3 linked regions of the Drosophila melanogaster genome follow. The protein of the gene in region 3 purifies or fractionates together with the protein of the main gene of each other region. This does not show direct contact. Each region holds a gene or a part of one and is shown on either strand. Other genes may lie near its edges.

Region 1 (3,755 bases), on a different chromosome or scaffold from region 3:
TTTGGTCAGCGAATTGCCCACCACATGGAACTCAATGGCTCGCTTCTGCTCCTCCGCCTTGACGTTCTCATCCCGCGACACATTAACCGGAAAGAGAATTTCCGCTTTGTTGGTGGTCTTCGACTCGGACACCGATTTCATGGCGCGCATTACTACATCCGCAGGCAGGTCATCCAAATTCTCACTGCGGCAGGACGATTAGTAAATGTATTGAAAGAAGAAAAAACTGATTACCAACCTGCTTGGACGATCGGTGGGCTCCTTTTTGATTCGCTTGTGGAGCGGTTCACCCACACTGGTCCTCTTGTTTCCACCAATGCTTGCTGCACTGGGACCAATGGGTACATTTGCCACCTCCTGGTTACGCTTTCTCTGCTGGATGACAAAGGAATTTGACGGGCGGTAGCTGGTATCCCAGATGGGCGAATCATCCTTGAGCAATTCGGCGCGAAGCGTTTCCAAAAACTTCGGCATCAGCGTGATGATCGAACGCTTGTCCTCGGGAAAGCGATCCCGCTCGGAGATGCACTTCTTTTTCAGCTGCTGCGACATGCACTGGAAAACGGTGCGCAGGAGCGTTCGTCCAAACACTAGGGACGTTTCACATTGGCGCAGGGAGTTACAGAAGGCGGGCACGTGGCAGAACACCAACCACCTGGTGTAGTTGATTTTGTAGTTAGAGGCATCCTCGTGGGTGAGATCTCCTCTCCTGGTCGACGGCGATTCAAAGTTGTAGTGGTTCAGAAAGTTCAAGAACGTCTTGGCCACCTCGGTCATGGTTTGGAGTTCAGGCGTGCTCAGGTGATTGTACTTGTAGAAGACCAACGAGAGCACAGCCTTGGTGATGCACGGCGTCTCGAATGGTGGATCGCCGAGAGGACCCCGGATGACCGCCTGCTGGCGCGTGAGGACGCACTGGCGCAGCAAACGGAAGAGGTACTGGTACACCTTCTTGGTGTCCTCGTCCTCGACGCGCTGCATGGACATGAATAGGTTCTCCATGTCTATAATGGCGCCCAGTAGCTCGTTCATGCTGGAACTGGATATATTGTCCAGATGGGCTATGTGCGATCTCAGCGAATGGCGACAGCTGGTGTTGCGGCACTCCTCGTTGAACTCCGGACAGTAGGAGGACTCGACGTCACGGTGGCGATTTTCCTGCGGTGTCTTCCAGCCGGTGCAACGGCATCCCTCAGACTGGCAGGCGGAATACATCGACAATTTGGCCAGTTTCTGTGGCACGGGCAGATTGAAGACCTTTTGCTTTCGCTGCTGAATGCGCTGTAGGCTGTTCTGGCGCGTTCCCTCTGCCGGCACACTGCCAGCGCCGGACGCAGCTCCTCCGTGTCCTGGATTCTGGGCGCTGCCAGCGGCTCCAGATGCACCAGCGGTTGCTGCGCCATTCGCTGCCTGCTGCTGCTGTTGCGCCGCAGCGTTGCCCGTGTTGTTACCATCGATTGGTTGGCTTTTTATCGTTATGGATGGACCACCAGACATTCCAAGATCGGCAGATATTGCGATTCTCTTCGTTAGTTTTGAACAAAGTGTACTTTTCCTTAAATTTCACAAGCGATACAACGAGTTTGCCCACTTGCTGTGCGCAATGATGGTGCTGCCAACCTGGCGTTTTGTGCAAATGAATTTCTCTCGGTGGTGAAATAATGGTTGAATATATATATTCTATTAACGATTTTACGTTTGTCCATATAGTGTATACTCGTATTATCTGGTGACAATGTTTTTAGACTTTGAATTTAATAAGTAAAAATTAGCAGGGGCGTAGTCAAAACAACTGAAAATTTGTAAGGGGGTTAAAAAGAAAATATTGCGCGGTTCTGCAAATTAATGTGACCCTGGTTTTAACTTATAATACAATTGTGTGAAAATTGCTCACAAAATTAATTTTAATTAATATTATTTGTAAGAAAATACGAAGTCTACGCCCATGCTCACAACTGTTTTTTTTTTTGGCGCTAATGCAAAATGCACTGCAATAAAGAAATCCCCTTTGAAATCGCAGACTAAGCAAATAGAATGGATTTTAATCAGAGTTTCGAGGACATAGAAAGCCAGCTGGATAACTTCGTGATACGCAAGAATCAACAGAGTGAAAAGTCCACGGGCAAATGTGGTCCGGAGGTCCACGACAACGTGCCGCTGACCATATCCCAGATTGAGCGCGCAACTCAGGATCCGGAGAACGAGAATGTGTTCATCACAGACGACGTGCATCCGATTCACTTCTGCACCTGCATCATCTACGCCTTTGTAACTGGCAATGGAACGCACAACGAGTCGTTCATGAAGTTCATGATCGATGATGGCACCGGCTCCCTGGAGGCCAGCATCACCAAAAAACCCTTCAATGGACGCGTGATCAGCAGCCTGTACAGTGAAGCCAGTTCGCTGGCCTCGTCCGAGGCCTACAAGAGCATTGCCGTGAGCATGATGCGGCTGCTGCAGGTCTCCATGGAGTACATTGATCCCACGCGCATCTCGAGGGGCCACAGCCTATTCCTGCGCGGTCGTCCGAATAGGTTCCGCGGCAAGATGGGTCTGGACGCTTTTCAGTTCTTCATAGACAGCGGCCGATCGCGGAATATGGAAATTGGCTTCGTAGACTACCTAACCGACTGGCAACGAAGGCATAAAACAATGCAGAATACAACAAATAAATAGTATCGTTGGTTTTTTGTATTGAAATTTTACTGGTAATAAAAATTCAAAAAGTTTTAAATAAGGAGAATTTAGGTTGTTTTTGCTCGTATGGCGGCACGTTTGCCGGTGACAGCCTGGAAACCTGACTTAATGCTGGCCACCGAGCAGCGGGAGCCACAGGATTCGCACTGCAGGAAGAAGAGACGCGTGTCCTTCTGCAATATCGTTTCCGGGGAGCGGCAGGTGTGACAGGTGACGTACTCCTTGATGTAGCGACGCAGCACATTCTCGATCTGTTTGGGCTGGAAACGGCCCTTGATGATCAGCTGCTGGTTGCCGTCCATGGAGCCACTGGTACCCAACTCGGCCAGCAGGAAATCGAGCAGATGCTTGGGCAGGCGATGCAGCGTTTTCGCAATGTCCATGAAGTTGGCAAAGGAGGTCTTCTTGGTTCCCACGCGCAGCACCTGCGGCGGTCGCATCACGAACTTTGGCTTTCGGCCGGCGGCCATGTCCGGATTCTTGTCGAGAATGATTTCGAAGACCCGCTTCAGCAACTCGTCGTATGTGTAATCGCGGTCGGAGCCAAACCAGGTTGAGCTGTTGTCCTCGTCTGTAAACGGATGAAAACGTTATTTAAAAGGGTATGGTATAAGCTTATTTGCTAAGTGAGAGCTTTGAAATCTGGAGTCTATTTAAAGTTGGAACAGCTACATGCTAACTCACTGGCTAAGCATTTCTAGTTCACTTCATACACTGAGTTTTAATGCTTCGGAAAAGGCGAAAGCCAAGTTATACACTTTAAGAATCGTATAGCTTTGCCTTTGTCAAGTGACAACAAGCTTATATGGCTGCCAATCTTGGTTGGGATGATTCTATAACCCTAAGCTTCCCTGGCTGCTCTGCAATTCGTCACCGTACCGTTCTCTTTGTCTTCGCTCTTGTCGTCGTCCGCTTGGTCCGCAAACAGCTCGTCCAGTTCCTTCTTCTTGCTCTTCTTCTTCTTTTTGGCCATCGAGAAGTCCATGTCCAGATTGATCTCCTCCTCCTCGGGCTCCTCGCTGGCGGCCACATCATCGCCGCCAAAGCTGGGTATG
Region 2 (3,755 bases), on a different chromosome or scaffold from region 3:
GACTCTTTACACGGCGTTCATCTTTGAGTTGCGGCTGAGACGAGGTGCTTGCTGCCTTTGTCTTGAAGCCATAGTTGAACCCCTCTCCAGAGTCGGGCACCTCTAGCATATCATACCAAATCTGTGCAGGCCCGAACCGCCAGTCAGCCACCTTTGGCTTCTGATCGCTGTTCTCGCCGTTGTCCGGTCCTTCTGGACGCACATCCTCGCTGTTGAAGTCGCCCAGCAATTTGTCCTCGTCGTCGGACATGCACTCCGCTGGCGTTGGCTCTGCAGCATAGTGCAGACTGAAGCCCCGCTTTCGTGGCTCCTCAGTATCGCTTGGAGAGTCCGAACCACCAGTGTTTGTCGTCTGAAATGGTTTACGAAAAGTTTCCTGGTGATCCCGTCCCGTTTAAAAGTACTCTGATCTTCTACCTTCTGATCCCTGGATTGATTTCGCTTGCGGCGGCGTTTGCGCACGTGTCGCCAGATCTGGGGCAAACTCGTGGGTTTACCGGGTCCGAAGAGACGGGAGAAGCGTAGCACCTTTTGGGGACGAAAGTCCGGAAAGAGCTCACGCACATCCACATTCTGGTACTTGGACGGCAGTATGTCTGCCAGTGGTGTGTCCAGCTTCCGATCCGCATCTTAAAGGAATGACCATTGACAAAAAAATTCTATTGTTTTCAAATAATTTTTACCCTTTGAATCGGTAGATTTGGAATCGTCACTGGGACTAGATGCATCATTTGACTTGGCCGGTTCCTCGATGCCGCCGCCAGAGCCGGAGCGCATTGGTGCACTTGGTGGAGGCATTAGTTCCTTGTCGTCCTTAGCTGCAACAAAATGTGAGTTATTCTCTCTGTATAGCAATAGGTCTGAACCCAACCTGAGCGGTGCAAAAGTAATCGTGTCACTTTGACAGGAATTGCATAGACCTTTAAAAATTTGAGCAATATCCTCTCCTACCAGTGTTAACTGGTTAAATTAAATGTCATCAAACCGTTGTAGATTACGGTCTTACTTACTCAACTTGGCCTCTACCTTGGAGGCGGGAATGGCGTCTTCTAAGTCATCATAAGTGCTTGTTTCTTCGGGCGGAGTGCGTGGGCAGTCCTCGGATAACTCGGTGATGTCAGAGTAGTCAATGGCATCGTCCTGAGCCTTTACGGCGCCATCCTCCCTTTTAACGCCCGCTTTGAGCGCATCAAAGGCACTCATTCCTTCGCTGGCACTGACGGCTGACGGTCTGGCGTCCTCCTCTTCCTCGTCATCCGACGGAGGCTCGGCTTCCTTGAGATCGATAACCTCGAGCAGCATAGAATCCAGACCCAATCTGAAAGTAATCCATACGCAATATGAATGGAAATGTAATTAAAAGTGTCTTATATCTTGTGAATTAAGATATATTTGAATGATACCGGGTTTACATATGTATGTACAAGCATGTGTACTCACTTGGAAAGGGAACCAATGTTTTCCCGGAGCTCCGCATCGAAACCGGTGCCCCCGCGCCCCTCTCCGTCGTCATCTTGCAGCAGTCTGCCCTCGGAGTCGATGTTGCCGAAAAGAATGCCGGTCAAGTCCAATCCATTGCCGATCGATCCCTCATCGTCGCTGTTGTCAGATTCCATCTCCATTTCTATGGGCTTGCAATGTTTACGCGGCTAAAGTATATTTTCTTCGACGGAGTGTAATTGCATTTTTCACACGCGTAAGTGTGACCGTCGATGGACAAAGCAAAGATGCCTCATGGCTCCCCACTGGCACCAGAAAATCCGCGATTAGATTTGGACAAGGGTTGGGAGCTTGGGAAGGTCAATTGCGTTTTGTACCGAAGGTTAGTGTCCAACAAAAAGGGCTCTGTAATATTTTTAATTGGCAATTTTGTACCATGTATGGCATACGTGGATTTTTATTAAAAAATATATATTCCTTTGATATTCGTACATTTCATTTGTATAATTATATATTTCTGAATAGAACTTCTGTAAACACCATTAACACGATCACTTTTGTTCAGCTTCTATCAAAATATAACTTTATTCAGCCAAAAATAGTTTATTCAACGCTCATTGGAGAAAAAATGGGCATACATAAGCACTACAATGCCAATTTAGAATTACAGTTCTCAGACCTACATTTGTGTTACGGTTTTGTAACGTTGAAGGAGCTATATTTCTCTATTGTTGTTCAGATTTTACAGAAATCTGTAGCAAACAATCATAACTACTTCAGATAGCAAAAACTTAAACCATCAATTTTTATATATTTCTTATTATTCATTTTTTATTATAAATATATATATGTTTATTTTCAGAAGTCTCTTCTTAACTTGGTTTTACTCAAACGATTTTACCAACTGCGCTTTCTCTAGCTGAGAATCGTTTTAATGATAATCTCGAAGAGACTATCCACAACTTTGGGATTTGTACTGTCACAAATTGTCATATTTGTACCAAAGAACTGCATGGGAATGTAGGATTTTTATATGCAGGCTTTGAACTATTTGAACGGATTAAAGGAAGAGTACGCTGAGCTCACAAATTTAGTCACCTTCAAGAATCCGATCCTGAAACTTTTACATCAAATGAATCTATGGTTTTTCAATAGATTTTCGTTATAAAATGTATTTCTGATGATTAAACCGGCTGAAAATTCGTTTTCATGGCTTAAACTCTAAAGAATCATTTTAATTCAAGGCAGCATTTCTCTAGGACACAAACCAATGCCATTGTGTACATTTTTTTGCTAATCTCTTTCCGTGACCGACTTCATTGTACCTCAAATTAATTATATGTTTTATAACTTACCTTTACCAAGGCTTCTGTTCCCAGATATGGAAAACCACAAAGTGGGAAAATTTAAAGGTAGACTAGTAAAAATCGAATATTTTTTTGTGTTTCGTCTTTTTGGAATTTCCCTTCATTATAAAATGCCTCAAATTAAATTTTCGAAACTTAATTATCCACGCTGAATGAATGATATAATAAAAATAAATATACGTATATTTACGTATACCGACCGTGATCAGGACTTAAGCCACTTTGAAGCTTGGAGATGGGTGGCAAGTATTTACGCTGTTGCAGAAAGAATATGATCATTAAGATGAGAAAGTGGCTGCGAAAAGCAAAGTGAATCTTGTGTTTTTCAGTACAATCCCTCAGAATGTCGCACTTGATATTCGAGTTTTTGTGTAGGACGAGGACTAGAGGGTTACTGCCTGCGATAGCTTTTAGAAAGGTCTACCTAGAGGGGGAATATTTAATGGAATGGCTCTGGATATGCCATCTCCATGCTTAAAGAAATCTATAGTTCTTGTTTCGCTGTATAACGCACTGCTGTTACCTGTCACCAACACGATTATCAGGAGAACTCCATGACATTCCATACATGTGTTTACTAATATCCACATATAGATCGAGATTCGTGTCAGCCCGCACCAAGCCAAGTCCCGTCATTGGGACACGGTCGGACATGGCGGGGCATGGGGGGACATGGAGGGTCACACGTTCATACGGACAATATTGTAAAATTACATGAGATGTTTTTACTTGAGAGGGTATGTAAACTTAGCTTGCCTACGGTACAAAATTTCTTATCGTCCAATAAGGAAACAAATTCTAGTCGATTACCTCGACTATCAGATACTACGCAGCTAAATCAAAATATGGATGGAACATTGATAGATAGCAAAACTAAAATAAAATATTTTTTTCGAATTTGTTAGATTTTTGGCGTTTATCGACGTGTCCAAAATCTGTTTTGCCTAA
Region 3 (3,378 bases):
AATATTTCTATAAATTGTATAATGATTTAGTAGGCTACAATTTTTATGAGCTCTAATACATATCGTGTACTTTAGCAACAAGTTATTTTTGAATTAACAGACTTTATATAGTAGGGTATGAAGACATTAGTGCTCTGCAGTCTGGCAGCTTTCAAAAATGTATCTTCAAAAGCGGTCCTAATATACCCTTTCTGTAGTTCAGTAGATATTACTTTTAAAGGCTGGATTTGGTTTTTATATACAAATTAAAGCAAAGGATAGGTAATTAGGCAATTAAGTTAAGATTAAAAGATTCCCATTTGTTTGGATAATTCTCGCAGTTTAAATAATTTGTATACTTTTGCGTGACGCACAAGCTAATGTACTCATCTGTGTAGGGTATGTACACTACTAAAACGTACAGTGTGGCAGCCCGAATGGCACTGCAAAAGTCTGGCAACTCTATGCGAGTCTCTGCTTCCTCTTCCCAAGTAAACCAAAACACCCACAGAGCAAAAGAAAAAACAGTAATAATACAAAGACAAGATGACGTTGCCCGAGTTCTTTGGCTGCACCTTCATCGCCTTCGGACCGCCCTTCGCCTTGTTCGTCTTCACCATCGCCAATGATCCAGTGCGGATCATCATTCTGATTGCGGCGGCATTCTTCTGGCTGCTTTCCCTGCTGATCTCTTCCCTGTGGTATGCCCTGATTCCGCTGAAGGAGTTCCTGGCATTTGGCGTGGTCTTCTCGGTGTGCTTCCAGGAAGCCTTCCGGTACATCATCTACCGGATACTGCGCAGCACGGAGCAGGGATTGCACGCCGTGGCGGAGGACACGCGAGTGACGGACAACAAGCACATCCTGGCCTATGTCTCCGGCTTGGGATTCGGCATTATATCCGGGATGTTTGCACTGGTCAATGTGCTGGCTGATATGGTGAGTGCAGCAAAGGTGCGTAATGTGCTCCGAGCAATGACAGATCTTTTGGTTTTTAGAGTGGTCCCGGCACCATGGGCTTGAAGGGCGGAACTGAGCTATTCTTCGTCACCTCGGCTGCCCAGGCGTTGTCGATTATCCTGCTGCACACCTTCTGGAGCGTTATTTTCTTCAACGCATTCGACACAAACAACTATATCCACATAGGCTATGTGGTTTTCAGCCACCTGTTCGTCTCCCTGATAACTCTGCTCAATGCCAATGAGCTTTACACGACCACTCTGCTGATAAACTACTTGGTCACCATACTTACGGGAGTCCTGGCCTTCCGGGTGGCTGGAGGAACATCTCGCAGTTTCAGAAAATTCATAACATGCCAGTAAACATACTCCTAGTATTAACCGCCTAGTTAATAGCTTTTGTATAACATTATAAAAAAAAACAAATTACCTTGTATATGCTCGATTAGTTACGCATTCTATGGACTTAAATCCCTTTACTAAATGGATTTCTTGAAAGAATGAGAATGCATTAAGATCCCAAGGTCTTTCGCAATAAATTCCCAAAACACAGATCTTAAGATACATTATTTTTAATGAGAAAAAAACTACTACAATGCATGCCATTATCTACTGACTATAGTCCACTTTCCTAACATTAATACCGTAGTCGGCCAAAGCCGGCTGCAGATCCTCCATGGTCAAGGTGAACTTGCGGTCCTTGGCCTTCGATCCTCCCGGTGTATTGGTGGTTTGCATATGGGTGCGCGCCTTGGAGTGCTGCAGTGCATCGTCGATGATGTCGGACATGTACTTCTGGGCGGCTAGGCTGATCAGCCGAACGATGCGCTTGTCGTCCGACTGAAAGCCTCCCATGTTGAGATAGTGCGAGGTGACCGCATCCGGAATCAATGGAGTATAATCTTCCAGCTGCGACATGAAGTCGCTGAGATGCGAAGATGGTGTGGTCCTATCCCGATCTCCACCGCCACCTCCTCCCGAGGATTGTCCATGACTGCTTGCGCCACCGGCGCTGTTGTGGTAAATAATTCCGAAATTGGAGCCCACCATCGAAAAAAGTGTACAATACAAATTAAACACAGTGCAGACGTAGTGATGGGAGATGCTAGTTATCGAATTATTCCGTATTGTTGCTGCCAGTGCTATCGATTCTTCTTACGGTTCGTCATCGATTACAATATAAACATACACACATATACACGCCAGCTGAGATAACAAATTTCTGGAAATAAACAATTAAAAAGTGGAAAACAATGGCTTCCGATGGCGAGGACATCAGTGTTACACCCGCAGAATCCGTAACATCGGCCACGGACACCGAGGAGGAGGATATAGACTCGCCACTAATGCAGTCCGAACTGCATTCCGACGAGGAGCAACCGGACGTGGAGGAGGTTCCTCTGACGACGGAGGAATCGGAGATGGATGAGCTGATAAAGCAGCTGGAGGACTACTCGCCCACCATACCAGACGCCCTCACCATGCACATCTTGAAAACGGTAGCTATATACCGGAAACTATTCTTTGTAGCATTTCTAATATTGGATTAAATCTGCAGGCTGGCTTCTGCACAGTGGACCCCAAGATAGTGCGCCTCGTCTCGGTGTCCGCGCAGAAGTTCATCTCGGATATTGCCAACGACGCACTGCAGCACTGCAAGACGCGCACCACGAACATCCAGCATTCCAGCGGACACAGTTCCAGCAAGGACAAGAAAAACCCCAAGGACAGGAAGTACACGCTGGCCATGGAGGACCTGGTGCCGGCACTCGCGGACCACGGCATCACCATGCGCAAGCCGCAGTATTTCGTTTAGATTTAGTTAAGCTCTAAAGTTTTGAATTGGGCACACAAATATAGCTAGTTTTCTTCAAGTTGTAAAAACATTTTAGCGAGGCACTTTCTTTATTAGACAAACTAGAAATTTGGAGCTACGATGTTAAAGAATTTGTTAGCCAACTCAATGCCGAAGAAGCAGGCAGCGTTGGCTGGGAAGGCTCGGAGCATGATGGGCGTCACGCCGCGGTACAAGGCCAGAGGTCCATCCTTGACAATCAGATCCTTGAAGACACTGCGTATGCCGTGCTTGTAGGTGCCTTCGGGAGCCGATTGTAGGCGGCTCTTTAACACGTCGGCTGGCATGCCCAGAATCCAGTAGGCCATGCCCGCCACTCCACCTGCGAAAATCGTTGAGGCAGTACTGATTTGTCCCGTCTCTGACTTCGACTTGGCCACATCCTGCAGCGCCTCGTAGACCAGGAAGTACAGCCCGTTGGCGGGCAAATCCCTGAGCATTGTGGCGCAGCTGCCCTTGAAAACGCTGCGAAGTCCACCCTCCTTGTATAGCTTGCCGGCGCAGTCGATCATGCCGTTGTACTTGCGCTCGCCACCCTGACCCTGCTGCGTCTGCAGGAGCACCTTGATGCGCTCGCCGGGTGCC

What was found.
Region 1: the proteins of Taf10 (region 3) and Gcn5 purify together in Drosophila melanogaster (affinity purification with western blotting; 4 studies listed by BioGRID). This does not show direct contact.
Region 2: the proteins of Taf10 (region 3) and Taf1 purify together in Drosophila melanogaster (affinity purification with western blotting; 2 studies listed by BioGRID). This does not show direct contact.

What each region holds. Positions count from the first base shown.
Region 1 is NT_037436.4:12,522,407-12,526,161, forward strand, and holds the start of Gcn5 (Gcn5 acetyltransferase), read right to left. Parts: upstream 1,609-3,755; 5' UTR 1,498-1,608; coding exon 239-1,497; intron 185-238; coding exon 1-184. Other genes in the region: ver (verrocchio), read left to right, coding at 2,035-2,679; eIF2beta (eukaryotic translation initiation factor 2 subunit beta), read right to left, coding at 2,748-3,271, 3,580-3,755.
Region 2 is NT_033777.3:6,644,857-6,648,611, reverse strand, and holds the start of Taf1 (TBP-associated factor 1), read right to left. Parts: upstream 1,724-3,755; 5' UTR 1,623-1,723; coding exon 1,441-1,622; intron 1,319-1,440; coding exon 1,011-1,318; intron 948-1,010; coding exon 684-947; intron 630-683; coding exon 418-629; intron 353-417; coding exon 1-352. UniProt on the Drosophila melanogaster protein: TFIID is a multimeric protein complex that plays a central role in mediating promoter responses to various activators and repressors. Largest component and core scaffold of the complex.
Region 3 is NT_033779.5:2,765,790-2,769,167, forward strand, and holds Taf10 (TBP-associated factor 10), read left to right. Parts: upstream 1-2,100; 5' UTR 2,101-2,191; coding exon 2,192-2,437; intron 2,438-2,496; coding exon 2,497-2,754; 3' UTR 2,755-2,823; downstream 2,824-3,378. Other genes in the region: aph-1 (anterior pharynx defective 1), read left to right, coding at 526-918, 978-1,301; Taf10b (TBP-associated factor 10b), read right to left, coding at 1,548-1,988; colt (congested-like trachea), read right to left, coding at 2,856-3,378. UniProt on the Drosophila melanogaster protein: TFIID is a multimeric protein complex that plays a central role in mediating promoter responses to various activators and repressors.